4 linked regions of the Drosophila melanogaster genome follow. The protein of the gene in region 4 purifies or fractionates together with the protein of the main gene of each other region. This does not show direct contact. Each region holds a gene or a part of one and is shown on either strand. Other genes may lie near its edges.

What was found.
Region 1: the proteins of Non1 (region 4) and RpL7-like purify together in Drosophila melanogaster (affinity purification with mass spectrometry, with the first as the bait; one large-scale study listed by BioGRID). This does not show direct contact.
Region 2: the proteins of Non1 (region 4) and Nop56 purify together in Drosophila melanogaster (affinity purification with mass spectrometry, with the first as the bait; one large-scale study listed by BioGRID). This does not show direct contact.
Region 3: the proteins of Non1 (region 4) and CG8545 purify together in Drosophila melanogaster (affinity purification with mass spectrometry, with the first as the bait; one large-scale study listed by BioGRID). This does not show direct contact.

Annotation. Positions count from the first base shown.
Region 1 is NT_033779.5:12,052,376-12,059,966, reverse strand, and holds RpL7-like (ribosomal protein L7-like), read right to left. Parts: upstream 3,620-7,591; 5' UTR 3,546-3,619; coding exon 3,535-3,545; intron 3,469-3,534; coding exon 2,820-3,468; intron 2,753-2,819; coding exon 2,639-2,752; 3' UTR 2,075-2,638; coding exon of another isoform or gene 1,754-2,074; 3' UTR 1,716-1,753; downstream 1-1,715. Other genes in the region: Rab3-GAP (Rab3 GTPase activating protein), read left to right, coding at 1-754, 940-1,137, 1,201-1,377; CG34164 (uncharacterized protein), read right to left, coding at 1,754-2,074; JhI-21 (juvenile hormone Inducible-21), read left to right, coding at 4,671-4,882, 5,469-5,664, 5,883-5,985, 6,043-6,310, 6,879-7,203, 7,283-7,407, 7,464-7,591.
Region 2 is NT_033777.3:22,416,637-22,424,213, forward strand, and holds Nop56 (Nop56), read right to left. Parts: upstream 4,433-7,577; 5' UTR 4,321-4,432; coding exon 4,318-4,320; intron 4,155-4,317; coding exon 3,752-4,154; intron 3,687-3,751; coding exon 2,602-3,686; 3' UTR 2,459-2,601; downstream 1-2,458. Other genes in the region: lqfR (liquid facets-Related), read left to right, coding at 1-674; mats (mob as tumor suppressor), read left to right, coding at 4,953-4,966, 5,332-5,498, 5,560-6,038; pinta (prolonged depolarization afterpotential (PDA) is not apparent), read right to left, coding at 6,960-7,158, 7,216-7,445.
Region 3 is NT_033778.4:12,463,540-12,472,222, forward strand, and holds CG8545 (uncharacterized protein), read left to right. Parts: upstream 1-5,111; 5' UTR 5,112-5,213; coding exon 5,214-5,310; intron 5,311-5,372; coding exon 5,373-6,343; intron 6,344-6,404; coding exon 6,405-8,012; 3' UTR 8,013-8,183; downstream 8,184-8,683. Other genes in the region: Lac (lachesin), read left to right, coding at 801-1,342; dgt5 (dim gamma-tubulin 5), read right to left, coding at 2,214-2,485, 2,552-2,739, 2,806-4,030, 4,094-4,371, 4,439-4,533; Nepl10 (Neprilysin-like 10), read left to right, coding at 8,376-8,683.
Region 4 is NT_033778.4:9,392,700-9,400,872, reverse strand, and holds Non1 (putative nucleolar protein 1), read left to right. Parts: upstream 1-2,138; 5' UTR 2,139-2,241; coding exon 2,242-2,289; intron 2,290-2,414; coding exon 2,415-2,689; intron 2,690-2,758; coding exon 2,759-4,394; 3' UTR 4,395-4,608; downstream 4,609-8,173. Other genes in the region: CG33774 (uncharacterized protein), read left to right, coding at 825-925, 1,005-1,026; l(2)k10201 (lethal (2) k10201), read right to left, coding at 1,119-1,784; ODA-Dnal1 (outer dynein arm dynein axonemal light chain 1), read left to right, coding at 4,793-4,944, 5,009-5,120, 5,175-5,477; l(2)03659 (lethal (2) 03659), read right to left, coding at 5,673-5,690, 5,755-6,684, 6,745-7,010, 7,069-7,529, 7,590-8,173. UniProt on the Drosophila melanogaster protein: Involved in the biogenesis of the 60S ribosomal subunit. Required for normal assembly of the mitotic spindle. May be involved in both centrosome-dependent and centrosome-independent spindle assembly programs.

The sequences.
Region 1 (7,591 bases), on a different chromosome or scaffold from region 4:
CCTCTTAAGTCTCATGTCGTGGCAGTACATGGTCCAGTGGAGCAAGCAGCTCTCATCGCTGGACCACCTAAAGGCAGCATTACTTTGTTTAAACCAATTCCGTACACCTGACTGGGCCCTGAAGCATGGAATATGTTGCATGCTGTGGAATGCCACCCTGAAGTTTCCTCTACAGGCGGCGGCGAAGCTTATTCAAAAAGTGGGACGCCTGCCAGTGGACAAGATGTGCCAGCAAGATCTCGAGATGTCTGCGGGTAAAGTGCCAGAGTTTCTAGAACTCAGCCTCGAATTCCTGCAGCATTTCACCGCTTCCATGGAGCACGATAAGCGTGAACTGCACTTCGAGCAGTCGCTCAGCGAAGGAGCCCTGCCATTGCAGTTTCTGGCTCTCCAGCAGCACCATGCCATGCCGCAGCTGCTCCGTCTTCAAACAGAACTGTGCAGCGTGCTGCACTTCGTTTCCTTTTTCCAGCTGCGCATTCCAAAACCACTGACCACGCTTTTTGACTCCATGAGCAACAAAGCTCTGCTGGCGGACATCAATAAGGAACTGCCTTATGTTTTGCCTGCACCAGATCTTGTCCTGCAACAGCAGCGCACTGAGTTCCTGTGTCGCCTTGTCACCGCTACCATGGATCTGATTAGAGAGGATTTGGAGCAGCTGTACATTCTCGATCATGTTTTCTACATGGGCAAGATCTGTGCCTTAGCCGACAGTTGGGAGGTCGATAAACTTCCTATCCTACGACGGCAGGTAAGAATGTACATACATATATGATCCCAGAATTCCTAATCTAGGAACCCATGAACACACATGACAGGGAGCTTACAATCCCTTTTGCCTTTCAACATCAGTTCGTTAGTTTGCTCCGTAGAGAGCACAACAGAGGAAACACAATGGAATAGAAAATATATTCCAAATATTTTTCCCTCCTCCAGGTGGTGGAACTGTACGCTTTTGGGTATGATGCGGAGGCTCAAGTGTTGCTCCAGGACATCAGCGATGACGAGGAGCTGGGCCGACTGCTGCTGGAGATCGCTGGCCGTAGACTTAATCTTTACGCACAGAGCTCGCAGTCCACGTTCCTGAAGATTGCCTCTGTTGGCCACCAGTTGCTGGCCTACCTAGACAACCTGGTAAGTGCTGCAAGCGCATATATCATTCGCAGTACTGATCCATTTCTCACGCCGCTTACGCAGAAGGAACCGATGACGGAGAACAACATTCAGATCGCGGCCACCAAGCCCGACGAGATCGATGTGGCTGCCCTGGACAGGCTGTTGTCGCATGCCTACAAATACCTTTGCCGGCGCGAGTCCAAGCAGCTGCCCATCATTGGCCAGATGTACAACGCCGTGCGTATCCTGCAGAATTAGGAGTGAGGATGACACATAAACACTTGGTTATTTTACATTTCTCTCATGATTTTTATGGATTCAAGAATGAACCCAATATTGATTGTTAAAGCACCACATGCGGTCCCATTAATTGTCTTATACTTATCAACCTAGTAGCGATTTAAACAACCTACGAAAAGCATCATATTAATTACTTTCAAGAAAAAGGATACTAAGATCTGCACCGATAGGAGGATGTATTCAACACGAATTTGATGTGAAGCTTATGCCTACAAGGATTATGAACATGTATATTTAATAAAATAAAAAAAAAAATTTTAATATTCTTTTACTAAATTTAAGGGATACCAAAAGATAAAATAACAATACTTTCTTTATTGATGCCCAACGTAATTTAATTTATATTTGAGCAGGGATCCAAGCGGGTCTTTGAACTTCGTGCCTTGGGCGCTGCCTCCAAGTTCTCCGCCTGTATTCGTCCGATTGCCTCCGGCGTGGGCAATCTCTCCGGCATCATGGTGGCGTGCACTTTGAGATGAGTGTAGACGGCAATGTAGCTCTGGCTGGTGTCCAGTTCGATGGGTGGACTCTGCTCTATGCGGCCAGGCAGGGCAAAGTGCTTGCCAAGAATGGGTTCCTTGAGAGATCGGGCCAGAATTTTTTGCAGTCCATCGCGGTCGGTGTCCAACTGCTCGCTGTTGAAACTTGAATTCATTGAGAATTAATTGAATCTAAGGATTTTGAATTCCAATGTGTAGTCCCTGGAGTTTTATCCGAACAAAAGATACGACGACCCGAGTTGCACTAGGTTAGTGGCACTGACTCCGACTAATCGAAAAACAACAGTTCCTCCTTCATGGCAACAAGTAGTTCAGTTTGGCATACCTTTCGTTTGCGAGGAGCCACCTCGGTTATGACTTATTTATTATTCGAGGCAGAAAGTTGATTCTCTGGTTTGTTCAATTTGGGAACTCGGCTGGGACACGCAAGGCCAAGAAGCAAAGAACTTGTTTCGTGGGTGAAGTTTATCATGTTGATAAACATGTAGAATAATGAGGAATGTCGTTAGAGACAGTTTCATGTGGTTCCTTAATAGTCGCAGGATTGCTTTTATAGGCATACAGTAAACTCACGATAGTGCTGACCTGACCATCTATTTTCTTCGTTAAATAAGTACGCTCAAATAGAATACGTTTGTATATAGATGTGTATTGGGCTTAGCTACAGAATGGGTTATAGAGGTTGAACAATCACTTAAGGGTTTACTAGGCTAGGGTCTCTACAGGCAGCGGGCAATCAGTTCGTTGATGGCAGTGCCACGATCGCCGTACTCGCCACCGCGTTTGTACGAGACGGATACCTTCTTTTGCCAACCATTGCTGGGACTGGACAACTGGAAAAAACCAAATGGCGGTAATAGTATAGTTTTAAGAATTGCAAAAGAGAAGTTGTTAACCAACCGTGAAGGCGCACAGAAACTCATTTACAGCGGCGAAGTTTGGACCCACTGTGCAAATTTCGTGGATTATATCCTCCAGACAGATGACACCCTTGTCGCCCAGCTGTTGCTCCACCATGGTGTTCGACTGGATGGCCGTCTTCTTGCCGTCGATGCGGGCGAAGCCCTTCTTGAAGACCAGCTCGCGAATGGAGCTCAGCGAGGGATTGCCGTAGACTACAAAGGGTTCGATAACGCGCAGCAGCAACTGGTTCTCCTTGGTGTTCTCCATGAAGACGGCGTTGTGGCGCGAGCCCATGCGCAGGGTTCGGAATATATCCGCGGTGGTCTTGTCGAAGATCTTCTTGCCCGCATGGCGCATCACGAAGAGCAGTTTGGGATTGGAATCGTCGGCAGCTTTGGCACTTTGTTCGGTGACATTGGTGCGCAGAATGGTTTGCTTGATCCGCTTGGACGTGCGCTCTGCTTTCAGGTAGCCCATTACGAAGGATTCGGCACGGCGGAATTTGTGGTGATTCTTGGTGGCGGTTCTCTTTTTGATGCGGTCATTTCTTTTCTGCGTAACAACAGATTCATCCTGCAGAATTCTCCTCTTGCGATGCTTTAGCACCGACACTGTTTTGCCGGGCAATTTGTTGGGCACCGCATATCTAGGGATCAAAAGTATAAGATAATGTTTAGGGTCAACACATTTTTATAGTTTTTCAATCACTCACTTGTCTGACATTGCTGGTATTTGGCTTTTTAATCGAAGTAAATTAAAACACGTGCAAGCACCAAAACAATAACTAAAAAGGATAGAGGTGGGCGCGGAGCGATAAGTGCTTTGCTATCGATAAGTGATGTGTGCAACAGCTGAGCGCGTTTCGTGGTGAATAGCTAACAAATTTGAAATTTTTGGCGGGAACATTTAAGAAATTGTATTATTCAACTGAAAACTATGCTTAATAGTTATGCCATAAGATAAATTTAGCATTAGCTAGCATTCAAGAGGACAGCTTTAATGTTTTCTTCTTGTAAGTAACCATTTGACATTAATTTCCGGTTTTGAGCACTCATTTCTCATTTTTTTTCTTTACACTCATTCTCTCTCTCTCTCTGTTTCTCTCTCCGTTTGCTGCTCTCACTCTCTCACTGCGTTTTAGGGTGAAAATTGCGTTAATTTTAGTATGAAAATGCCGGTCTCGATGCCAACGCACAGTCGCTGTTCGCAGTCAAAGCCGTTTTGTTGTGTCCGCGCTCTCGAGGTAAAATAAATCGTGTTTTACGTGCAAAGTCGCTGGGAACAAGATAAACCGAAATTAATCAGCCAAACTGCATTCCAAACCTTGCGAATAACCAACAAAAAAAAAAAGAAGCGAATAAAAGCAATCGAGCAATTGCCAGAAAAACTGCAACTCTGCAACTGCAAAATTCATTGCCACGCGTCGTAAGGTGATGACGAAATCGTGGAAATTGGCACGCGGCAAAGGCGTCACCATAAAAGTGGAGCTCCCCATTAGGCAGCTACACACCACAACATGCCAACCCCAAAAATCACCCTACTTTAAAGCTAAATTTCGTGTATCGAAGATAGTGGCGTCGGGGAAACATTCAAGTTTATGCCTGACAATGGGAGATTAGTTAGCTGCCAGCGAGGCAAAAATCGGGTCTTCTTCACTAGCAATTAGTAACTAAAATCAGCACTATAGCATTTGTTTACAATTTGCGCAACACGTGCTCGCGCCCCATTTGCTGATAGTAATGAAGGCTTTTTTTTCTACATTTCAACTTTTACCCTTCATTCCAGTGACAATGTGCGCTATTCGCCATTAGAAGAGGGTAAGCAGAAGAATCCCACAGTGCAGACATCATGACGGACCGATATGCCAATGGAGTGACCACCAGCCTGGTCGAGCCCACAAATGGATGCGCCGCGCCGGGTAATCCAAATCCCGCTGATGGCGAGGAGAAGATTGTCCTCAAGCGGAAGCTAACACTCATCAATGGAGTGGCCATCATAGTGGGCACCATCATTGGATCGGGCATCTTCATTGCTCCCACGGGAGTCTTTATTTACACCGAGTGAGTGGTGATACAGAGCATCCTCCTTAATTCAATTTATGCACAAAAAAGGTCAATTTAGCTGTTAATTAATGGATAGATTGTCGCAGGCATTCCTTTAGCACCAATTAAGATACATTTATTAGTTCTCGATTTTCCCTCAAAGATTCAACCTTGAAATTCTGCCCACATATTGCGTCAGCTTTTTAAAGTGTTTTTTTTTTTTAAGCGAATTGTCTCCAGTCACAAGAATAACGTCAATAAGGCGCGCCAAACATTTAAATTATTGATAAGAGCCACAAAAAAAGGTGTGCGTCATAAGCTTAAGGCGGCTGCGAAAAATTCCAGGAAGTTAAATTCATAAAAGTATTTTATCGAAATGAAAGCTAATCCCCAGCACTTGTTTTTTTTAGATGTTTTGTTTAAATACCATTTTACTATTATTGCTTACAAATATTTGCCACCGAGTTAATATTAGATCTATATTTATAATTTTTATTGCTTTATATATATATATATGTATGTATTCCCTGACCATATTTGTTTACGAGTGTTTATTTTCATTCAAATTGTTTATTGATTCGATGACTACTTTAAATCATTTCAGATCCGTGGGAAGCTCCCTTTTGATTTGGCTGACTTGCGGCATTTTATCGACGATCGGAGCTCTGTGCTACGCGGAACTGGGCACATGCATCACAAGATCTGGCGGGGATTACGCCTACCTGCTGGTGTCCTTTGGACCGCTGGTGGGATTCCTTCGCCTCTGGATCGCACTGCTCATCATCCGGCCAACCACGCAGGTCAGTTCCTATAGTACTCATCAATTGAATTACGGAATGTTTACTTATTTGGCTTGATTGATCGATGGGTTGTTGATGCAAATAAATAGAAATTTATTAATGGGCGGCTACCTTCGACCGGAATTGAATTCAATTACGAGTAGGACAGCTTTCTCCGCTAGAAACAAATGGCATGTGGGATTTATAGTATGAATACATTGTTTTATTTTTTTTTTTAGACCATTGTGGCTCTATCTTTTGCCCATTATGCGGTCAAGCCATTCTTTCCGGAATGCGATCCCCCACAGAATGCGGTGAAACTGCTGGCTGCCATATGTCTAAGTAAGTTGGTTAAACAATCCACTCAATGTTAATTAATTGAAACTCCCACTCTCCCAGCTCTGCTCACCACAATCAATTGCCTGTCGGTGAAGGTGTCCATGAAAGTGCAGGATGTGTTCACGGTGGGCAAGCTGCTGGCCCTCATCATGATTATCCTGTCCGGACTGTACTACATGGCCACTGGCGAGCTGGAGAACTTCAGAAATCCGTGGGAGGGTATCTACACGGCCCGCAACATTGGCTACGCCTTCTACTCCGGTCTGTTTGCCTTTGGTGGCTGGAACTACTTAAACTTTGTGACGGAGGAGCTACAGGATCCATACAAGTGAGTAGTGGTGACAAGGATAAATGGTTGGGTTGGGCTGGGTTTATTTGCCTCATTCATTCCTTGTGCGTCATGCGCAGGCAGCAACAAGTGGAAACTTGTTGAGTGTCCTTGATGTCATTCCTCCTAGAATACCACCCAGTGGGTGGGGGATGCTGCCTCATCCCTAACGAATTCAATTTGCAATCAATTTAAGTGCTACGCTCCCTGCACAGCCAAGTGGCTTTCTCGCTGAATAGCACGTTCTTTGACACACTGAAACAAATTTCAAGTAGGAAACTCAATTCTTATGCGCAGTAAAGCCCGTAGATTAGTTTTAGTTCTGATGTTTCTAGTTATTACAAACCAATTATGATTTTTTCGAGTATAAGGTAAATGTTTTCTATATCAACGGTCATCGAAAGTGATAAGATATCTCTTATTTTACCTGAAAGCTTTTTAATGTTTTAGTTCCGAATGAAACATCATAGTCAACTATTAAAGATAGTAGTTATTTGCAAAAACAGTAGTTAGAAGTTTTTGTTTTGTATAAAACTGATCTCGGTTTCTTTGTTTTCTCATTGCGCAGGAATCTGCCGCGCGCCATTTGGATAGCCATGCCCCTGGTCACGAGCATCTATGTTCTGGTCAACTTGGCCTATTTCGCCGTGGTAAACAAGCCGGAGATGCTCAGTTCGCTGGCCGTGGCGGTGACCTTTGGAAACCGAGTGTTCGGACCGCTGGCCTTCATGGTGCCCATTTTCGTGGCGCTAAGCACATTTGGTGGCGTCAACGGGGTGCTCTTCACATCGGCGCGCCTTTTCGCTACTGGGGCTCAGGAGGGGCATTTGCCCAAGTTTTTCCAGCTGTTCCACGTGAAACAACAGACGCCCATTCCCTCCCTGATTTTCACGGTGAGTTGGCATGAGCATTTTGCACCAATCAGCTATCAGCAGAGAATTGTGCATTGATGTAAGCGCATTTTTCCCACAGTGTCTTATGTCGCTGCTCATGCTGCTCACGGATAACGTGTACCAGTTGATCAACTACTTCAGCTCGGTGCTCTGGCTCTCAGTGGTGGCCAGCATAGCCGGAATGTTGTGGCTCCGGCATAAGAGGTGAGTGATATCACTGACTTCTTCTGAACCCAATGTGTAATGTGTATTCCTTTCAGGCCCGACTTGCCCCGACCCATTAAAGTCCATCTTGCGCTGCCCATCACCTTCATGGTAAGCTGCGTGACACTCGTACTGCTGCCCAATTTGGAGGAGCCACAAAATCTGCTCATTGGCATCGGCATAA
Region 2 (7,577 bases), on a different chromosome or scaffold from region 4:
ACATGCAGAATGAGATGGAAATTGTGGATGTTATACCACCGGCAGCCAAGCATCCCCGAAAGTTCGAATTTCAACAGGAGGAGGAGAGTCCGGCCGCTCGTCTGGCCGCTGCGCAAAGGATCATCCGCGACCGGCTGCGGGCCAAGACGAAGAGATATTTCAGCAAGCCCAAAGCTGGAGATCAAATGGAGAAGGCCAACCCATTTCACCCCGTTGCCGGTACATTTTTCTTCAGTTTGGTGAGGGGACAGCGCACCCGTCAGATGCTTTACGTAAAATACGAAAATATTTCTCACGACATCGACACCCAGTTGCTTGTTAACCTGCTAAACACCATGTCCGTGTTGGTTATGTGCTCCCAGAACTGTCCACTGTTGCCAGCGATGACCCGCGAGATCTTTGACCTATGCGCCTTTGTGCGTTTCAATGCCGAGGCCCGCGTCCGAGCGGCCACATTGCAGCTAATAGGAATCGCCTTGGTAACCACACCAGCTCATGTGCTGGCCCAGCACTTTGCGGAGTCATTGAACGAACTGCAGCGCTGGCTGAATGACTTCATAAGATCGCCATTGGTGGGCGGAGAGACTTCGGAGGAGTGTCGTGAACTGGCCCAAAGCATTTTGGACACCTGCTACAAACTCTTTGATACAGCCGCCATGGAACAGGCTGCCTAACTTGGCCATCAAAAAGTTTTGAAAGCAGCCTATAGAGTTTTAAGAGATTTAAAATATTAAAACTGTATTTAAAATACACTAAGCATATTTCTTGTTACGGAAAAACGAACAATTTTTTACTGAAATATTTCCGAATTAATATATGATATATATGATTAAATACAAGATTACTTCATACTTTACATCAATTCTCATACAAACGTTAACGCTGTGTCCTTAAACATTTTCTTATAATTGTATAAACTAATAATAGACTCGAGAGTTAGGTATTTGCTAGAAATAAGACAACAGTTCTAGGAATTATTTTTTAAATATCTATCGCCCTCGAAGCCATTGTATTCCAGGTATACATATATGGATTTACTTCATTTATACTACTTTCTTTTGTTTATTTGTTTTTCTCCTACTGCATATTTGTATTGCAAACCACACACACATTGGATCCAATATTATTTCTCAAATATATACATACATATGTACTTAATAATGATGAATTGAAAAGCATTTCTCAATATTCCGGGCATTGTGCGGCCTCCGCAGCCACGGACTCATTAGGTAAACCAATCCAAAACGGCAATAGCCACATAACAGATACGAACCTATTCTTTCCTTCTGTAATTGCACTTGATTTGCTGCGCAAACGCTTCCGAGTAGTGACCACCTCATTAGCCGATCACCAAGTAGCCGCATTCGCAATTCTATCGAAGCCACATATTTAAAACAGCTTTTTGTGAAACCAAAATAAAAACGAAAACTGAAACCCCGAATAACATTATTATTGCATTTGTTTTTTTCCAGACAATATGATGCCTCCCATTCCCGCCGTCACGGGCAATAATCTGCTCCAGCCCATGTCGGTGACCAATAATAACAATAATACCAACGGAGGCGCAGTCCCCGCCGCTGCCAGTGTCCAGTCTACCGCTGTGGGCGCCACCTGGTCGGGCGACCTGAAGGGCGGCAAGATGAACATTGACCTGGACAATCTGCTGATGAGCAAGTCGGGCAAGCCCAGTGCCCCGGCCCCTTCGATGAATGCCCTGAAGACCAACAGTCCGGCAAAGGCGCCACTGAATGTGCAGACGGGTGGCGGATTCCCTGGACTGTCGCCAATGACCAGTCCGAACATTTTTGGGGCTCCGGCACCGCAGCAAAGCATTCCACAAAACCAATCAGCATTTGCCAACTTTGGAGCTTTCCAGCAGCAGCAGCAGAATCACAGCAATAATAACAATAATAGCTCGTCGGCATTCGACTTGTTTCAATGATATTTTTTAGCCTAATTTAACCCAACCAACCTACTACCCAAAATGTCCACTCTCACATTCACATTTCCACGATCGCTAAACTTGTCAGTTCTATATATTATTTACGTTTTCCTTTCCCCTTGCTGTACAAAGTTTGCGACACGTGCAATTTGTTTCTAAATTCGTTGTTAAACAATTTACCCCCGATGCAATTTTCCGGATCAAACCCATTAATTCCACATCCGTCCTGATCGTCCACTCGGAATTTGAAAGTCGTCATCAAATGCAATACACAGAGTAGTTGAATAATGGTTGTACTAAACGGATTCGTTAGCACAACGCGCGGACGGACGGCTGAGCGATCCAACATTGAAATTGTTAAACAAAATACTACACGTAATAAAATCAAACAATTTTAGCAATAGTTAACGTTACGATGTGTCTGTATATAAATTGAATGTAAAGCAAATATGAAATATAAAACAATTGAAACCAATAATTATGATAGTCTCTTGATTTAAAACGCAAACTCATAAAATTCCGGTGGGAATACCCTCCAAAGTATATGTTTATTATTATTTGAAATGCGATCCATCAGGGGGTCAAAGGAAATACAAAAGAAGCATGTAAGTAAAAGATAATAGTGTGGACTTAAACTAAGTTGAATGTAACAGAGACATTTACGCCTCCACCGCTTCCTTGTTTTTGTTCTTCTTTTTCTTCTTCTTCTTTGGCTCTCCATCATCGTTGCCATTGCCATTTTCCGCCTCGGCGGCTGCTCCGTTTCCATTACTGGCGCCATTCGTCTCGCCCTCGTCTTCAGCCGCTCGCTTCTTCTTTTTCTTCTTTTTCTCGGACTGTACAGTGATTGCCGCCTCTTGACCAGCTGCCTCGATGGCCTCCTTCATTACCTCAATGTTCTTGCGCGGCACATCGCCGGACTCGTAGAACTTGAGGCGATCTTCGACCTGTTGCTTAAGAGTTTCGCCAAACACGCTAGTCGGCTGTTCCAGGAAGCAATCGATACGCGACGCGATGGAGCACTTGTTGGCCAGGAATCGAGAGATGCGACCCTTGTTCTTCAGGCCAGCTCGACCAATGAACGAGGAGTGATAGATAAGACCATACTTGGGCGTATTGGAGCGGGTCTTTAGAGCACGGAAGAGCGCCTTCTCGGCACCCAGGATTTGTACTGTAGATGCTGGGTACTTGGCCAGATTAGTCAAGCTGCCGGCATGCGATATCAGGCGGGCACCGACCTGGTCGCCAATCAAAGACTGCAGATTGGGTGCCACCAAGTTCATCTTGTTGTGCAAGTAGGTAGACAGTTTCTTTCGGTACTCGGAAAGCTTGACAACGCGCTCTGCGAACAGCTCAATGTTCATCAGATCAACAATGGAGATGTCCATGCCCATGGACATCTTGGCGGCATCAATGATAGCCTGAGCCTTGGCGGAGTCCATGACGATCTTCTCAAGATCCTCCAGCTGGTCTTGCGTGAGGTTCTTGCGATCCTTGATGAACTTGGCCGCCTTGGCGAACATGTAATTGTCGGGAACGATTTTGACCAGTTCTGGGAAGTGATACGAGTACCACTCGCGTATCCGCATAGAGAAGGTATTTACGTCCTTATCCAACTGATCCAGCAAAGCAATCGACTGGATGATCATGTTGTCGGAACGATGAACATTGAACTTGACCTTGGCACGCGAGTAGCTGTGGCCCAGACCCAGCTGAGCAACGCCAGCGGACTTGTCGGTGAATCCTGCATCGGATGGAGGAGGCTTTAGTTAGACAAAGAGGATTTTCCTTGCAAAGCAGGTAGCTTACCCTTGACCAGCTTAGCGAAGTGGAATCGCACGCCGCGCAGAATCTCAGGAACCACTCCAAAGTGACTGCACTGGACGCCAATGGCCTCGGTGATTGCAGCTCCCAGCTTGGCATCCGCAATACCCAGGGTGCACTTCTTCTTCTTCAGCTTGGCAAAGAAGTCATCCAAGAAGGAGAGCAGATCCTGCGGCACTATGCCCTCGGATATGGCATTGATGTTTTCCAGTGCGGCAATGGCCGTCTTGAAAGGTGCAAATCCAGCCAGCTTAACAATTGAGTTGAACTTGGCGAGGTCCGTCACCGAGGACTCCACCTGGGGCAGGAACATGGACACCTCTTCGAACTCCTTGACGGAGAAGAGCGAGAAGCCCGCCGCATGCTCGTACAGCACATACAGGTTCGACTGGAGGCGGGGAAATGAAAAATTATCAGTCTGATGCGGTGGCAGACACATGTGGTTTTGGGTGCTCCGCGTGTGTAGGTTAGTTTTCGCAGGGAAAACATTTTCATTTCACGGGCAACCCGCAGAAAATTCAAATATATGATTATTGCACTGAAATATTTACCATGTCTATGCCGAATATATGCCGATTTAATTAAGAAATATATATTTTTATACACCCACGATGCTGCTACAGTTGTTTTCCCACGTGCTTACTTCAAGTGTGACCATAGCAAGCCGATTGCGAAATGTTAGGGACATACCAGATAAAATACCGCAGTACCGTACTGAATTATTTTAACAGGCTGGCCACGTTGATAGCCTGATAACCTGTCGCGTTGTCCCTCTCGCACTTTCATCAACTGTCTCTGTGTGTGAAAGCAATTTTATTTTTATTTATAACAAATTTTTTGCGTTTATAAACACAACAGAATTAACTAGTTGGCTCGGCACACTTCCTGGAACCGCTCGCATCAGCTGTTGGGCTACGGCACTAGTTAACAGACCGACCAACTGGAGGCCAGATACAGATACCATCATTGTCATTTCCCAATTGACCAGAGAAAGAAACCTGCTGCGAATTCCAGTCACTTTTCTTTAATTATTATTCGGCGCTAATTGTGTAAAAATCGGCGGAATAAAGCTGCTGACACGACACAGAAGAGCCGAAAAAGCGGTGTGGCACTCGCCGGAAAAGTCTACGCATAGGAAAATTCCATTGGAGGCTCAGTGAAAGGCGAAGCACAGCAATTGCATGCCATGGACTTCTTGTTGTAAGTTCTCAGGGGGGCAAAACGTAGTGCAACTGCAATCCTTTCGAGCACAAAGAAAGCTTGGATCACCCCGCCCCACATCTGACTTTCCGGCTTTGTTTGCCCTTTTTGGGGTGATATCCCCAACCTCTTGTACAGTGGAACTTCCCTAATTTTGTCTGCGGTGTTTAAAAAATAGCTTTTCAAAGATATCTTGCATTCTTCCTCAGTGAATTTAAAAAAAGAAAAAAAAAGGAAATATTTCTTTTAGGGAGTGTAAATTGAACGAAGTCGCTTACGTTTCAATCTATAGAATCTTTACTGTATTATGTTTTACTGAGTGGGGCTGTTTGGGGCCGCGACTTATTGCCTTTCTCTTTCCACAGCGGTTCCCGTTCCAGCAAGACCTTCAAGCCCAAGAAGAACATCCCGGAAGGCACACACCAATATGATCTCATGAAGCATGCGGCAGCCACGCTGGGATCGGGAAACCTGCGCAATGCAGTGGCCCTTCCAGATGGCGAGGATCTCAACGAGTGGGTGGCCGTTAACAGTGAGTCTAGTATAGTGTAACTAGCGAAAGATAACCAATTCTTATTGCCACTCCTTCGCAGCCGTGGACTTTTTCAACCAGATCAACATGCTGTACGGCACCATCACCGAGTTCTGCACCGAGGAGACCTGTGGCATCATGTCGGCTGGTCCGAAATACGAGTACCACTGGGCCGACGGTTTGACCGTAAAGAAGCCCATCAAGTGCAGCGCGCCCAAGTATATTGACTATCTGATGACTTGGGTGCAGGATCAGCTGGACGACGAGACCCTGTTTCCCTCCAAGATCGGCGTGCCGTTTCCAAAGAACTTTCACTCCTCCGCCAAGACCATACTGAAGCGTCTGTTCCGCGTGTATGCGCACATCTACCACCAGCACTTCACAGAGGTGGTGACGCTTGGCGAGGAGGCCCATCTCAACACGTCCTTCAAGCACTTCATCTTCTTCGTGCAGGAGTTCAATCTGATTGAGCGGCGCGAACTGGCCCCGCTGCAGGAGCTCATCGACAAGCTGACGGCTAAGGATGAGCGGCAGATATAGGAATCACTGCATGGAGCCGCGAATTTTCGCGATTCCGGCGGCGGTGGTGGTGGTCTGCGCTTGCAGTTGGACTTGTGATGAAAGCGCTCTGGCAGACTCGTGTATTACGCTTTAGTTAGTTACCGCCAATACTTTTATGTTTCGTTCATTGCTTCATGGGGTGCCTCCCACTAAACAAAAGAAAACAAAAAACCGCCAATTGGCAATGTGAACCGAACTATAGCGGGCTAATTGCTGATCCAGAGCAACTACTATATTTTTATATGTGAAACGTAAAAACGTATAAATCATATTTATATGTATATGTAAAGGAGAAAACAAAAGCAGCAAAAGCAACAGCACGCCTTTTATAACTAACACCTCCCGCTTTCGAGAAACAACAAATATTACGTTCACAAACTATGCGTGTTTCCTTGTTTATCGTTTTTCTTTCTGTATGTATTCTATGTATTTATTACTATTAAACTATCGCTAATTGCTCGCGGTTCAGCGGATCAAGCGATTTTGTAATGCAAACCCCAGCAATTTGAGGCGACGGTCGGCAGCACCCAATAACTGATAATAATTGTAGACTTGATAAACATTTTTGATACGTTTTATACTAATAAAGAGAATATTATGAATAAACTCGTCTCTTTTTTGTTTGGTTTATCGTGTATTGACACTTTATTAAGCAAAAAAAAAAAGATAACATTGATGATTAACACAACGAAAATAACCTTTTTTAAAAAGGTTTAACGTAATGACTTATAATATATACAAATATGGTTAAGTGGGGAATTAGGGAGTATTTGTAGTACCCTTCCATAAAATATGACAACTGATATGCGCCTTTGTGCATTTGCGCATTGTAAATGTTTTCGACTAATCTATAACATTCGGCTAATCGCCTTGTTATCACTGCCGCCACACTAACCCCAATCACTTGAGCTTGCTTTTGTATTTGTCTTGTTCCACATAGAAATCGGCGTTCTCCTCGACCAACTGCTTCCACTTCACAGACAGCTCCATATAGCTTAATCCCTGACCACCGAGTTCCTTTGGCAACTGATCGCAGCTCACGGATGTTCCTTCACGACGCACGAAAAGTCGCGATCTTATCTTGGGCGTCATGAATATTCTAAAAAAAATGATAATATATAGTAAATTCTAATTTGACTTAGAACATACAACCCACCTAAAGGTGTTCAAAAAGAAGTTCACATGGCGCGGGGCGTTGGTGAATTCCAATAGCTTGGGCTGACATGGATATGCGGTCCAGCTTTCCACGGATCTCTTGATGAGCTTCGGATTCATTTGAAGAGCGTGCCCCAGTTGAACGCCCTGCATATCCAGAATAGCCACCATTCCGCGGGCACAGGTCTCCGGATCGAGCTTTAGCAGCAGGTCCAATATCATTTTGCTGGTCTGGGAAACAAAGGTTGGAGATATAAGTATATGGAGGAAAAAATGTGGACGAAACTTATCGTATTTCATATTATTAAAATGTTAAGTTATTTTTTATTAAAGCACGAAAAGTTCGCCTTCATGACTATGTTT
Region 3 (8,683 bases), 3.1 Mb from region 4:
ATACATATATAGTACACCCCACTCATTCCTGGTTGAGCTAAGCCAACTTCCGGTTATGAACCCAGAGCACCTTTCGCATTTGGCATTTGGCATTCGTACTGCAATTCCTATTCCTATTCCCATTCACGTTCACGGTTCAGTTGCTTAGCGCGCACCCCGAACCCATGGACATCCCCCCATCCTTTAGAGCACTCATGGCTAAGTGCAGTGGCGCTGGCATACTCCGTTTTTCAAAATTAGTTGGCAGTGCAAACGAGCAGAGGCCCAAACAAAATGCTTTACTTGTTAGAGGTCATTAACGCTGTCATTGTTTCGCTGCTCGCCTTCCACCGACCATATCCGTGGACAGTGAAAAACTGGAAAAGGTCACCCGCAAGTGCCAACGGATGTGCCGCGGGTTGGCTCATTAAAATCGGATTTTTGACTCAGCCCCCGCTGCACAAACACAATAGATGGAGCACCGAGAGCGTTTAGAGCTGCTCCATTAATGGCCAGTGGATGTGTTCGCACTTGAACGCGCGTCATTTAAACAGCGAATAAGATTAAACCCATAATGGAAATGGTTACACCACATACAAAAGGGCAATTGTCTACGTTGATTTGAAGTATTATTAGATCGCTACTACATATTACTTATTCTCTAAATCGTTTAGGTTTCAAACAAAATTACAATACATACTACAATATTTGATGAGATAGTATGCAGATACATTCGGGTTTTAATGTAATAGGAAGCTTAAAATCATACCCAAATCTAATTGCAATAACCCAATCCATCCATACCAATTTGCCTATTCCAGATAGTGCCACCTATGTGGGCAACACCCTGCGCATCAAGTCAGTGAAGAAGGAGGATCGCGGCACCTACTACTGCGTGGCCGACAATGGAGTGAGCAAGGGCGACAGGCGCAATATCAACGTGGAGGTGGAGTTCGCACCAGTGATCACCGTGCCGCGTCCTCGTTTGGGACAGGCTCTGCAGTACGACATGGACTTGGAGTGCCACATTGAGGCCTATCCGCCACCGGCCATTGTGTGGACCAAGGACGACATCCAGCTGGCCAACAACCAGCACTACAGCATCTCGCACTTCGCCACCGCCGACGAGTATACCGACTCGACGCTCCGTGTGATCACCGTTGAGAAGCGCCAGTACGGAGATTATGTGTGCAAGGCCACCAATCGCTTTGGAGAGGCGGAGGCGCGCGTCAATCTCTTCGAGACGATCATTCCCGTGTGCCCACCGGCCTGTGGACAGGCGTACATCGCCGGAGCCGAGGATGTGTCCGCCACTTCGTTCGCTCTTGTGGGCATCCTGGCGGCGTTGCTCTTCGCCAGATAAGCCAATGGGCCCACGGCCGTCGACTCCAAGCGCTTCAGGTCCAATCCATCAACCAGCCCTCGAATGCATAAAACATATATAAAATAGATATATCGAAAACAAACATCGTGTAACCGCGCAATAGATGTCTCAAACGATTTCGGACACACCAACCCACATCCAGTTCTCAGTTCGTTTTGTAGCTTCTGCTTCCGTTTCCGTATAGTCCAGCCCAATTTTTGTACGTCCAATATTATGTCTTAAGTTAAGTATGATAAGTGAAGGGCCAACGATAACTAGACTATAATTTATTAGCACCCTAGAGCCGAACTCAAACCGAAATTAGACTCCAGCCCAGCCGTAAACGATGCATTTCACCTTGATCCCGTCCGTTTTGCTTTCTGATCTGGCACTGTATATGTTTTAAATATTTTAATCTAAGCAAGATACATCACAAGCATTCCGATTTTGCTTCGACAATTGAGAGGATATTTTATTTTTATTTAATAATAATAAAGTATTTTCGTTACGCAAACCTATCAGCTCGACACACTATTCCCTAAATAATATCTCAACCCCCATAATCGAGGCAAAATCCATATTCGAATAAAAGGCAACAAAAGTTGTGTACATTATTAGCTCATAAGCACAATGAGAAATTCTTTTGAATAACAAGACATTTTTACCCAAATTTTTGTGTGGGTGTGAGTAAAATCAATTTCGACTTTGTAACAAAAAAAAAAAAAGACAAACGAAAAACTAAAATTAACAAAAAAAAATGAATAAAAATATTTAAAAAATTAAAATAACGTTTTTTCATTCTAACAGTACAGGATATTCATATAATTTAAAATTGAAAAGGGCTACAGTATTCACAACACAAATAACGTACTTAATTAGGTGGCGCTCGCATCGAACTTCCATTGGTGGTCATGCGATAGTAGAGATTGAATTCGGACTCGTAGTCCGCGAAACTGCCATTGTTGTATCGTTTACTGGGTGGAACGTAGCGTCGCAATGGATTCTCAAGCAGGAACTGATAGATGCGCTCGGCCTTTTCCAGCTGCAACTGAGTCTTCACCCCAATGGCCATCAGGTTGTCCAGCAATTGGTCAATTTCCTCGTGCTGACGACTCGCCTTCAGTCTCAAATCGTGCGGATCAACTGGGGAGCAGGGTGATACGTTTTCTATCAGACGGATATGAGACAAAATGTCGGAATCGAGCTTACCAATTAACGGCTGCAAATTCAATTTCAACTCAGACGTGTGTGCGGCAATTGCTGACGCCCACAAAATGCGTTTTCGGACTTCCTGCAGAGCGCCGAAGGGTGTTAGCAAATAGCCTGGTGCCAGTTGAACGGTGGAGGCCAACTCCTGGGCCTCGACGATGAGTGGATTGGCCGACAACAGGAAGGAGCTGTCGGAAAAAACATGAACTCTGGATTAATTGGAAATAGCACATTCAGCTAAAGTATGCTCTCACCAGGCGCGCGGCGTACAGCTAAATTTTTCCAGCGGTATTTCCAAAAATGTATTGAATTCCAGCAAATGCGATGGTAGCGTGGCTCCGGATGCAGCCATCAGTGTGGTAGATGCTGCTCCGCCCGGCACTAGCGTTTTGTTGTCAAAACTGCGACGCATCGTTGAGTTTATTGCGCTGCAGTTGCCATCGAACTCCACCTTGGTGCTGGAGAACACACTATCATTGGCCAGGCAAAAACTCTCCGCACCCAACATGGACATATTGCTGACTTTTAGCTTAGTGCTCATCAGCTGGGACTTGGCGTTTTGTTTCTGTGTGGCCGCTTGCATATCGTCCAGCAGGTTCTTCATCATATTTCGCGAAAACAGGATCTTCTCCTTGATCTGTGACAGCTGCACCATATCTTGCTGGATGCGATTGATGCTGGAGTTAATGTCGCCGTATACTTGTTTCACAGAGCCTAGCTTTAGATCGTGATTCTCCAGCTGCTTGGCGCCCGCATCTAGCTCCAGACGCAGTTGCTCAATCTGCTCACGAAGGAATTCGTTTTGGGAGCGATTAAAATTGCGCATGTTGTACTGCACCAGATAGTCGCTAATCAGTTCATCCGCATTTTCCTCGTCGCCCAAACTTATGCCATTAAATCTGTATACCTTTGATTGCAGTTTGTCCACAAAGACGCTGTAGTCTTGGCAAAAGCGTTCCTCCTTCAGTTCCAGCTCCTTTTGGGCCGCGAAATATTTGGCCGCCAGACCCAGCATATCGGCCTTGGTCTTTAGTAACTTGACCTCATAGTTATTCAGCGGTGGCTTATCATTTGTGCATTCGCCTCTGGATTCATTCAGCTTCATGATGTGCTGCAGCTGCTCCTCTTTGATCTTCATTACCACGTTCAGAAGCAGGGAGTTGGGAATATCCGCAAAGGTGCTCCGCATCTGATCCCATAATCGCTGCTTGGCCTCGGCTAAATTGTTCACCGCATTGCCATCGTCACACATTCCATAGAAGGTCTCCAGCTGCTTGAGAGCCTGCTCCACAGCCCTTGTTGCCTGCGCCTCGCTGGCATTTCTAGCACTCAGCTTCACGGGCGTGGTGCCCAAGATTTGGATCTTGTTCTTCAACTCCTGGTCGTAGTTCTTATTCAGCGACTCCAGCTTCAGGTCAAGGATATTGCATTTGGATTCAAGTAGTTGCTTCCGGTTCTCAGCACTGATGGTTTGAATGTCTGTATGGGATTCACCGCATTAAATTGACGTCAAGGTTATCAGTATGTTCACTTTATACCCACTCTTGGTCTTGATGCCGGCAGATAGCTTTTGGTACTCTTTTCGGGCCTCCGTAAGCTGTTGGTTCGCCTTCTCCTTGTGCTTCTTTAGCTCCTGTATTTTTTGGTACCTCTGGAGCTCCGGTGGCTGGAAACTCCTAGAGGCCAGCGGCACCATTTTGTCCTTGTAGCGAGCCACTTGGGCAATCAGCAGGTTCTCGCGCACCTCCCGCACGTAATCCACCGGCTGGATGCGGGATTGCAGCTGGTTCAAAAGTAAACTGGAGCCGGACTTAAAAATTCTGTGAAGCAAAAAGCGGGTTTTAAGTACGGATAGTTGCCGATTTGCCTAACACAGCTGTAACTTACCTTCGGAGTGCATCATCGGTGGGCAGGGCAGTGGGCGGGCAGCCAAGATTAGTGGCCCAGTTCTTAAATTCTGTTATTTTCTCCTGGTATGCCATGATTTGCAACTAATTAAATTTTTCGCAAAAAGGCGCAGTCGTTTGAACCAGCCATTCACCAACACAATCAAATATGGCAGGGTTGTCAACAAACTACTATTCGCATCAAGTTGGCAGCAACTATAACGGTTATTTAAATTAATTTTTCATTTTAAATTACAACTAAAGATCATATCTAATTATTGAATGGATATAATACTTACTTATAAGCAAGAATTCTGTTAATTAGATATATTCCAGATTTTTTTTATTTATGATATTTTTGGATTTACCAATTAGTTTACCAACTCGTTTTTATAGTGCTGAGAAATACGTTTGCTGCTAAACAGCTGGGAGAGCAAGTAGCTAAAATATCTTAATTAAAAAGTTCCACGTGTTTTCCAAATATATATACTAACGTAATCTGTATAAATAAACTGTGTAAGAATCAAGCAAAGTCCGACAAAATAAAATTTAAAGTAATATATAATTTTATTAGTTATTAATATATGTTGAAAAAAAAACATTGTTCATAGCTAGTTAAAAGCTGAAAAGTTGACAGCACTGGCTCAAGCAATTCCCTCTGACCAGTGCTGGAAAACACTCGCTGTCTTTTGAGCGGCGCACGTGGAGCAAAATCGAAGTGCTCACGTTTTTTTTTAAGTTCTGCTCCAAGAAACTGGATAAACTAAGTTAAAAATATGGGTCGGAAGGCTGAATACAGTGAGAAACCGAAAAAGGGACCTGGGCGCAAGGCGCGCAAGCAAGGACCGCCTGTTTTTCGCAAACAATCGTTTGGTGAGAGCTCCTGAATATTACCCTATTCAATGGGTGTTCAATTCAAATGTTTTACTTCACAGCTCCCATGGAAGAGGAGGACAAGAAGCTTTCCCACCGACAGAAGCAGAGGTTCGTTAAGCGAGAGCAAAAGAAAGTAGTCCAGAAGGCCAAACTACAGGAGAAGAGGGCCAAGGGAAAGTTACCACAACCGGCTAAGCGGAAGACGGCCTACAACAGCGACAGCGATCCTGAGGATAATGAAGAGGAACCACAGGTTGCATCCTCCGATGAGGAGGTGCCTCAACTGGTGCCGGCTCCGAAGGGCCAGAAAGCTACAGCTCCCAAGGGTTTTACAGATGATAATGATGCCTGGCTGAAGCCCAAGAAGCAACAGAAGCAGCCAGAAACGGAGTCCGAGGAGGAGGAGGAGGAGGATGAGGAGTCGGAGGAGGACTCCGAAGATGAGTTGGGAGAAGAATGTGAAGAGGAAGAGGAGGGAGACGATGAGGAAGGATTGGAATCTGATGATGATACCGCTCAGGTTGGCAAGCTGGCCGATCTATCCGACGATGATGATGCCAACTCCGACGATGACTTTGACATATCTGGCGAGGAAGATGGTGCTCAGGCAGACAGTGATGAAGAGGAGGATGAGGACGACGACGATGATGATGATGATGATGATGATGACAAGCTGCCCATCGAGCGGGCTAACAAGAAGTTGAAAAAGCGCGAGGCAGAGGAAGCCCAACTGGCCGACGACGAAATGTTGGAAACCGTTGACAAGCAGGATGTTTTCCAGCTACCCGTCGAAGGCGAAGAAACCGAGAAGGACCTAACCCTGCAGGAAGTGCAACAGCGCATAAAGGACGTCAGTCTGGTTCTTTCCGACTTCAAAAGGTATCGTCAAGCGGATAGGTCTCGCGGGGAGTACATCGATTTGCTGCGCAGGGATCTGTGTTTGTATTACAGCTACAACGAATTTTTGATGGAGAAGCTGATGGATATGTTGCCGCTGACAGAGCTAATGGAATATCTGGAGGCCTCAGAGGTTAGTATATTTCATAAAAAATATAGTTACAAGATTAATCATTAAAAATTAACCCCTTTAGATTGCTCGTCCCCTAACCATACGCACCAATACTCTAAAAACACGTCGTAGGGATTTGGCCGGAGCTCTGATCAATCGTGGCGTCAACTTGGATCCCCTTGGTAAATGGACGAAAGTTGGATTGGTTGTCTTTAACTCACAGGTGCCACTGGGTGCAACTCCAGAGTATCTGGCTGGCCACTACATGATCCAGGGCGCCTCTTCGCTGTTGCCTGTAATGGCACTCGCCCCGCAAGAGAACGAACGCATCCTGGACATGTGCTCCGCCCCAGGTGGAAAGGGATCCCACATCGCAAGCATCATGAAGAACACTGGTGTGCTCTTCGCCAACGATTCTAACAGGGATCGCATCAAGGCCATTGTTGCCAATTTCCATCGCCTGGGAATTGTAAATGCAGTGGTCAGCTGCGAGGATGGCACTAAGTTCCGGAATATTATGACTGGCTTTGACCGTGTCCTGCTGGATGCTCCGTGCACTGGAACTGGCGTCGTCTCTAAGGATCCCAGTGTGAAGACCACCAAGTCGGAAGTAGATGTACAAAGGTGCTACAACCTGCAGAGGAAGCTTCTGCTGACTGCCATAGATTGTACGGATGCGAAGTCATCAACTGGCGGCTACATTGTATACTCAACTTGTTCGGTGTTGCCCGAGGAGAACGAATGGGTCATCGACTATGCACTGAAGAAGCGAAATGTCAAACTTGTGCCCACTGGTCTGGACTTCGGCGTGGAGGGCTTTACCAAATTCCGTCAGCATCGGTTCCATCCTAGCTTAAACCTTACCAAGCGCTACTATCCGCACACCCACAACATGGACGGGTTCTACGTGGCCAAGCTCAAGAAATTCTCCAACACCATACCCATAACTAAGGAGCAGCAGGAGGAGGATGAAAAGCAGCTGGATGAGGCCATCGAAGCGGACGCCACTACAGAAGCGGCTGCGGAGTCTGAGGAGGTGGAGGAGGAGGTAGCGTCAAAGGAGAAGGGTCCCCGAAAACTGCTTGGAAAGCGCGCCGGAAAACCCAGTTTCACCGAAATCGAACAGGAACTGAAGAAAAAGAAGCGGGAAGAGAGCAAGACCAAGTATGTGGCCAAGGTGTTTGAGCAGCCTGTCAAAAAGCCAAAGCCAGAAAAGCCAGCAGAGAAGAAAAATGAGAAATCCCAGGCACCGGACAAGCAAACAAATTCAAGCGAGTCACCTTCCAAGTCTGCACCTAAACAAAAACAAACCAATGGGAAAACCACTGTTTCCAATTCAGATGCGAAATCATTCAATAAAAAGAACAAAGGATCGCAACCCAAGGAAAATGGAGCCGGATCACCAGCTAAACCAGATGACAATAAGCCAACAACCAATGGCACAAACTCCCCTAGCAAATCAGCAATTAAGGAAACGAAAACGAAGCCACAGCCGAAAGGAAAACAGTCGCCCAAGGGAAACGCCAAACTGGCCAAGGCGCCGCGAGTGGATATCGACGATGTGCCCATTCTCGAGGGAAAACCCATCAAGAAGCAGAACAAGCTGAAGCAAAAATCCAAACAGATCGGCCAGCTGAAAAAGTCCACGGCGGGTGCGAATGCGGGAAAGAAGCAAAAGTTCAAGAAGTGAACACCTTAGATCCAGTTTTGTTAAGTAGACTATAAGCGTGTGACATATAGTTGGGGTAGTCCCGACGCGATTACCAATTTTATATTGCGAACTGTCTTAGCGAACGATTGAAGATTGAACTACAACAGCGGTGTAATTAAGATTCAATAAACGTTAAGATCGGTTTAATGTACTCACCAAGCGGGTTTATATAGGTGGCAGGCACATTTCATTAGAGGTAATTGCTCTACATTTCAAATGTGAATTCTAGTATTGACCAAGCTGTCACTATCAGCCCCAAAGCTCTATAGGTAGTTCGAAGGTGGCCGAGCTCAGCAGAGCGTTGCGATAATCTGTTGTTTCATTGTGAATCGAGCGAGCTTAATGGGATGTTTACTTTTACTGTGCTCTTGCCTGGTGGCATTATTCATTCCCATCCAGGCAATAGTGGACATCAACGTGGCAACGTCGAACGATATTCACAATAATCTCAATAGAACAACATCACCGTGCACGAATTTCTGGAATTTTGCCTGCGGTCGCTTCTCCAGTGCCTCTAAATATGTGGACAACTTTGAGCGAGTCGAGGATCAGTTCGCCACTGCCATGGTGGAATTCATGGAGAGCCACTTGGGTGAAAACGATACACTGGCACCCCGACTGATAAAGCAAATGCGACAATACTACAAGGC
Region 4 (8,173 bases):
GTATGTGTTAGCTGCAAGTGCACTCGAGTGCCTTCTTTAATATTTAAACTAGAGCAATTGAGAGATCTGTGTATGACGATAGCTATACTAAATATTTTTAACTGACGCAACAATTTCCACAAAACAAGTGACCTTTAAAACAGAGCTGCGCAAAAAATATATGAAAGCAATAAGTATTATGTAAACTAGTTTTAAGCTTTGGATACGGAAAGATAATTAAAATATTTCTAAGATGGCCGTTAAATATGTTAATTTATAATTTTTGGCGAGAATTTACAATTGTTCGCTGAATATTTTTATGAAAATAAAATAGAATTAAGAATATGGTTTTGTTATTTGTAGTAAAAAGGTGATAACGAGTTTTGGATTTCAAATGTTATGGAGTTATTGAAATAAAAATAAAATATGGTGGAAACCTTTTACTTTTTATAAATGACGTTCATTTTGAAATTGAAAAAAAAGAAAAGAAAACGATTTTTTTTTTAAATATCCGGTTTGGTATATCTGGTATTATTTATGGTTCGCGAGGTATATCGGTATATTTTAGTGGTCGATCTACGGTCACGCTGAAATATTTGTACACAATAAAAACCGGCTCGTTTTTTCGCTGAAAAAGGTAATAAACTAAAGTTAATGAACGCAAACGAAACAATCGGTGAAGTTAATCGACAAATGAGATGCATAATCCCGCGTTGCATTTTGGTGGATACAGAAATAGGCCAGAAATCGCGATTTCCACACCGCACCCATGACGTGTCACTCGCCCACTTCGTTTCTAATCAATTAGTTTGTTTTTATCCATAGAACGTGTTACTGTCTGCAAAATGATCACCGACGTGCAATTGGCCATTTTCTCCAACGTTCTGGGCGTATTTCTGTTCCTGCTGGTGGTTGCCTATCATTATATTAATGCCAATACCGGAAAGTAAGTAATCCCACTTGGTGAAGAAGAGGAAGAAGACAGCCCGGAATCAACAATAAAACCGATTTTCATTTATTTACAGGCCCAGTGCCAAGGCAAAATGATGTAGGATGTTTCCGCTAACAGACTAATATAGTTCTACCAGGATAATGATAATGCTGCTTCATTCGCAAAATAAATATGTAGTTGTACAAATCTAATCCAGGATGTCGTTAATGGCCTCCTTCATGGCCTGGACATCGTCCAGTGTTTTGCCAGATCTCTGATCTTTGCCTGTGTAGAAACTCCTCTGCGTTTGATGTCCAAAGCTGAAGGCCTTGACGTAGGGCAAACTTTTAGTTTCCTCTATCACCTCGTCCACCTCCATGGAATTGGGTTTGCTTTTGCCTTGATGCTTCTGTTTGCCCCTATTCTTGCTATGATCAAAGCGATAGTTTGCCGGAAGCTTGTGCGTTATGATGCAGTGATCCTTGCGCTGCCGGGCAGTATGAAACTTGATGGTGCACTCTTCCAGAAAGCAGGAAAACATGGGCTTGTCACCGCGCTCCACGCTGGCGGCAAAATAGCAATCGTGCTGTTCGGTGATGTGCAGATCCAGTAGATGGGCAGTGGGCAGCATTTTTCGGCATTCTACGCAGCTGTAGCTCTGCTCCTTATCTATGTTGTCCCTGATCCTAGCTGCCGCCGCATCCTGCTCGCCCAAGATGTCATCGATGTCCACGAGAACGCCGAGTTTCTTGAAGGGCGCCAAACTGGGTGCAGGCGGATCCGTGGGCTTTATGAATCCCGCTGGCACTTCGCTTAGTATCCTGATGATTTGCTCTCTGGAGAGAAGTGCTACTCCCGCAGCTTCCGAATCCATTTTGTTTGTGTTGCCAAAATGTTTTGTTTTGGTTCCTACGCCAGTTTCAACATGTTTCCACTGTACTGCCTCTTGGAAGATGTGATTTTGTTTAATTTATATAAAAATTAAAAATAATTTCCTTTTGAATTGAAATAGTAATACAATTTTTGAAGTGCATACGTAAAATAGACATAATTAATGAATTGAAATACTCGCTCATATTTTAGATGGATATATTTCTATATTAAACAACTGCAATTAAGTTGAAACATCTTAAATGCCTTTGAAATGATGCCACATCGCCAGACTTAGTTACGCGGGCTGGCATCGCCGTGCAGCACATGTGAACCTAAACTGGTTCCGCCCGAGAACCGGTTCTTTTTGGAATACGAAGCTGACACCGCGTGGTGTTTTTGCTTTCGATTCCGCATTTATTTTCCTTTCGACGCGTGGAAAATAAACAAATCCTGCCAAGATGAGTCTGTACAACTTCAAAAAGATCATGGTGGTTCCGCCAGCAAAGGTAAGGTGTACCCAGCAGCGCCCGTCCCGCGGAGCACCCCTTGAAGCAAAGACATAACCTCACTGGAGGTGTTTACCAATATGCGCAATATGTAAATAATATTTTATTTTTTGCCCTTTCCACAGGACTTCATCGACATTATGCTGTCGAAGACACAGCGCAAGACCCCGACGGTGGTCCACAAGGGCTACAAAATATCCAGAATCCGGGCATTCTACACGCGCAAGGTGAAGTACACGCAGCAGAACTTCCACGATCGCTTGTCGCAGATCATTCAGGACTTTCCCAAACTGGACGACGTGCATCCTTTCTACGCCGACTTGATGAACGTGCTGTACGACAAGGATCATTACAAGCTGGCGCTGGGTCAACTCAACACAGCCAGGCATTTGGTGGACAAGTGAGTGCCAAAGTCACAGATCCCCAAACGAACAAGGTTCGATTAACTATTCTATTTTTTATCCCGCAGTGTGGCCAAGGACTACGTGCGCCTGCTGAAGTACGGTGACTCGCTGTATCGCTGCAAACAGTTGAAGAAAGCTGCCCTGGGTCGCATGGCCACCATTATGAAGCGACAGGCCTCCAATCTGACGTATCTGGAGCAAGTGCGTCAGCATCTCTCGCGTCTGCCCACCATCGATCCCTATTCGCGTACCATCATCATCTGCGGTTTCCCCAACGTGGGCAAGTCCTCGTTCATCAACAAGATCACCCGCGCCGATGTGGAAGTGCAGCCCTACGCCTTCACCACGAAATCCCTGTACGTGGGACACACAGACTACAAATATCTGCGCTGGCAGGTCATTGACACACCCGGCATCCTGGATCATCCCCTGGAAGAGCGCAATGTGATCGAAATGCAAGCCATTACTGCCTTGGCTCATTTGCGCGCCTGCGTCCTGTACTTCATGGATATCTCCGAGCAGTGCGGACACTCCTTGGAGGAACAGGTCAAGCTGTTCGAGAGCATCAAGCCTTTGTTTACAAACAAACCCCTCATCCTGGCCATCAACAAGATCGATATTCTAACACCAGAGGATCTGCCAGAGGAGCGACGAGCGATTATCACCAAACTACAGGAGGACAAGAACATTCCCGTAATGCTCATGTCCACCGTACAGGAAACCGGTGTCATGGAGGTGAAAACCGAGGCATGTGAGCGTTTGCTCTCGTACCGTGTTGACCAGAAGATGCGCACAAAGAAGGTGGACAACATCCTGAACCGCTTGCATGTGGCGATGCCAGCGCCGCGAGATGACAAACTTCGTGCACCCTGCATCCCAGAAAAGGCCTCGGCGCGCCTGCTACAGAATGCCGACAAGGCAGAGCGCAAGCGCAAGCTGGAGAAGGAGATCGAGGAGGAGATGGGCGACGACTACACGCTGGACCTCAAGAAGAACTACAGCGAAATCCCCGAGGAGGAGCGCTACGACATTATTCCAGAGTTCTGGCAGGGTCACAACATTGCCGACTACATCGATGCCGACATCTTCGACAAGCTGGAGGAGCTGGAGCGCGAGGAGGGACTGCGGGAGGAGAGCGGCGTCTACAAGGTGCCCGATATGACCATGGACGAGACGCTCAAGGAGATCCGCGAGATAGCCAAGCAAATCCGTGGCAAGCGCTTCGAGCTGCGCGACGAAAAGCGACTGTCGTCGCGAAAGAACAAGCCAGTCATCCCACGAAACAAGCAGCCCAAGGTGCGTGACCGTTCCGTACAGAAACTGGTGTCGACGATGGAGGGCCTCGGTGTGGACATGTCCGGCAGCGAGAACGCCAACTTCACCAAGTCCGTGGTGGATCTGCGTCGTGGCCAGGTGGCAGTTGGCTCCAAGAAGGTGCCCATGCAGCCGCTGCTCGACAAGGAGTCCTCTGCGGTGGTCAGGAAGACTGGTCAGCCTCTGAAGCGGGCGCCGTCGCGCGACACACTGGGCATCAAGAACTTGGCCATTCGCAAGAAGGCGCAAATTATGGCCAAGCGGGATATTGCCAAGAAGGTCACAAGCAGGGGTCTCAAGGGCGAGGCGGATCGCTTCATCGGCACCAAGATGCCGAAGCATTTGTTCTCCGGCAAGCGTGGAAATGGCAAGACGGATCGCCGTTAAGCGCCGCAGCCTTGGCTGGTTAAGTGATTCTACCTGGTGGGCTCGCCTGCTCCTCTGTATAAACTAAGCGTCTATCTTTATCCCTGAAAAACATTTTCAATACAATATTGTATTTTTACAAACAAATTGTTTATTTTTCGGGGACCACACATCACACACTCAGTAAACTTTGGTGGAATTTTTGTATCATAAAAAGCAAAGAGCCTTGACTTCTGGAAAAGTTTATATAAAGAGAGAGACCTGAAAAGCATGTGCATTACTATTGTCTTTAGCACAAACAAAGTTTACCCCCATGGATATTTGCTCGTTTCTTACTTCACCTTGGCAACGTGGAAGTTTGTTTGGTTTTTACCAATTTTCTTGTCCAATGAGTAAAAGTTGTTCGGCACAGCAACATCATGTCCAAAGCCACCACAATTAAGGAGGCTCTGAAGCGCTGGGAGGAGCGGGAGCAGCAAAATTCCCTGACTGCCAAGGTTATTGATCTGCAATTCCAGTGGCCACCCATCGAGAAAATGGACAGCACATTGGGTACGCTGGTGCAGTGCGAGTGAGCTTAAAAGTTCTTAGTTCTTCGAGGAAAATGAACTCCTACTTTTCTGTTTCCCCTGCAGGAGAATCAGTATGTCCACGAATATGATTGAGAAGATATTCGGCTTATCGGGCATGAAGTGCCTCAAGGTATTGTCCTTATCACGGAACTACATTAAGCAGATATCCGGGCTGGTAAGGACGAATTAGATAGGTTCCATTAGCACATCATTTGCTTCTCTTATGTAGGAAGCGGTGGCTGAAACTCTGGAGGAGCTGTGGCTCAGCTACAACCTAATCGAGAAAATTAAGGGTTTGACTGGTCTGAAATGCCTGAAGGTGCTCTATATAAGCAACAATTTGATCAAGGACTGGTCGGAATTCAATCGCCTGGCCGAGATCGAATCTCTCGAAGATCTAGTGGTGGTAGGAAATCCCCTATCCGAGGGATTGGACGAGCCCACTTGGCGGGCGGAGTGCATCAAGAGGCTGCCCACCATCCGCAAACTGGACGGAGAACCAGTCGTGCTCAACGAGGAGCCGCAGCTTTAAGTCTGATGGCCATTCGGTTTATATGGATGACGGAGAGATTGGGTTTTCCATGCGAACTTTCATAGCAGAAAACAAAAAAAAAAATCTTGAAAAATACACAACATGTACTATTTTAGAAATCAGTTTCGTCTTTAGATTTTTATTTAAAATATTAGTTTATCTAACTGGTCAGTTGGACTAGTAAGTATTGCGGCCTTAGGAGGATTCAAATGTCTGCAATGAATTGTAAATTATTCATTAAAGGATTCATTTTTAGAGAATACTAATTAAATCTAACCTCTTGGGCGATTTTCAGCAGTCCCTCGTAGCTGGCTCGACCCGACTGATTGACCAAGTTGTGGAATACCTTGGAATCCGATTTGGTCATCAGTTCATAGGGCGATCCAAACTCCACAACACGTCCAGCATCCATAACCATCACCTTGTCGGAATCGATGATGGTGTGCAATCGATGGGCTATTGTCAAAACAGTGCAATCCCTGAACTTGCTGCGAATGGTGGCTTGGATGAGGCCATCCGTTTGAGGATCCACATTGGCCGTTGCCTCGTCCATAACAAGGATGCGATTCTCTCGCAGAATGGCTCTGGCCAGGCAGACCAACTGGCGCTGACCCACACTGAAATTGGTTCCGCCCTCGCTGATTTTGCTGGCCAGGCCATCGGGCAGATCGGACACCACCTCCTTCAGTTTCACCTCCTCCAGACAGCCCCACAGCTTCTCATCGCTGTACTCGTCGAAGGGATCCAAATTGTATCGCATGGTACCGGAGAATAGCACAGGCTCTTGGGGTATAATCGAGATCTGTCGGCGCAGATCGTGCAGACCCATCTGTCGTGTGTCCCTCGTGTCTATAAGCACGGATCCATCGGTGTAGGATAGCCGGAAGAGGGCGTTAATGAGCGAGGATTTACCCGCTCCAGTTCGGCCGACTATGCCCACTTTTTCCCTGGGCTGTATGACGAAGCTGAGCGACTTGAGCACATTCTCTGCCTTGGCATTCGGTGTGTAGCGAAGGTTTAGTTCCTTAAAGATGATCTCACCCTGTTCTGGCCACGTCTTGGGTGGCTTCTTGTCGTCCGGAGCTTCCAACATTCCTTCCGGCTCAATGCTCTCGTACTCTACCACTCGTTCCACGGCTGTCATGGTGTTCTCCAGCTCGGCGGTTTGACGTACTCCCCACTGAACCATATCGATCAGTCCCATGGCCTGTGGGTAACCAAAAGGTGATTGGCAGGTGATAGTGACTGCTTTAGTGTAATGGCTTACCTGTGTTATGACCAGACCAACATCAGCTCCGTTGCCCGGAGGAAAGGCAAAGAAACTAAGCGTTATGATCGATATATAAATCACGCATATGCAGTTCATACAATAACCAAATGCCTGCGATGTACTTATGTACATGAAAAATGCAGAGCTGTGCGCATCCTGGTAGCTGTCGAACTCCTTCTCCAGAACGCGCTGGGCATCCAAGGCTCGGATGGTGGTTAGGCCATTCAGTGAAGCAGCCAAATGCGAGTAAACTGGTGATCGATCTGTACAAATACTAAGTTTCTATCGATACTGAATGCATTCAATGTAAGGAATTCGTACTTATAGCTTCTACGCGCTTCAAGTCCCTCGAGGTTTTCAGATATAAGTTGCGCAGATGATAGAAAATTACGGACAGCATGAGTGTTGGAACCAACAGCAGCGGGTTGACATTGGCTATAACGATGATTATTCCGGCTAGCCAAAGCGCAATCTGCATCACATCCACCAGAACCACGGGAAGGACCTCGTCTACTTGGCTCATGTCCTTGGTAAAACGATTTAGAATGCTTCCATGCTTATTAATGCTAAAGAAATGCATGTCAGCTCGAGTAACTCTATTGAAGATGGTGTTGTGCAGTCGAATAGATGCTTTTTTGGCGATATTGAATAACAGAAATGACGACGACAAATTCATGATAACTGACAATATTATGATCAGTGTGTATTTGTATACATCCATGCTTTTCGATTCCATATCCTCCATTTCGCCATGGCCAGCAGCAGTGCTCTCCTTCTTGACCCTTGAAAATATAAGGAGTTTATACCAATTAGGCTTAATCAGACCTGTTATACCAACTTACCAGTAAGTAAGGAAGTAGTCACCACCAGTTACAGCCACCTGGGCCAACACAGAGCTGCTCAGCATGACAAGGAAAGCCACCAATCCACCTCCCGCCTGGAAATACTTCCTGTACAGAGCCAAACTAATGCCACCTGATTCCTGGCGCTCCACGTGCTCCTTTCCCGAGCTGGAACCTCCGACGGTCTGCTCGGAGTTTTCCTTGATGGGAGTTACTTCGTTTTTATTGTCGGGAGAATTAAGGTTCAATGGTTCTTGCTCCTCTGTCTTTGCTTTATCTGTCTTTGATAGACTTCCCAGACCAGTGATAAGGCCCGTTTTGAGTAGCGACTCATAGTCGCCCAGTGCTTTGATCTGTCCATTCGCCAAGATCACAATCTGATCGACGTGCGGAAGGAACTGCTCTTGGTGGGTAACCAGAACTACGGTGCTTCCGCGTAGATGACCCCGCACGCACTGATCGAAGAGATGACGTGCTACGCTGGCGTCTACTGCGCTCAGTGGATCATCCAGGAGGTAGATGGACGCCTTCCGGTATACACTTCTCGCCAAACTGATCCTGGCCTTCTGCCCACCCGACAGGGT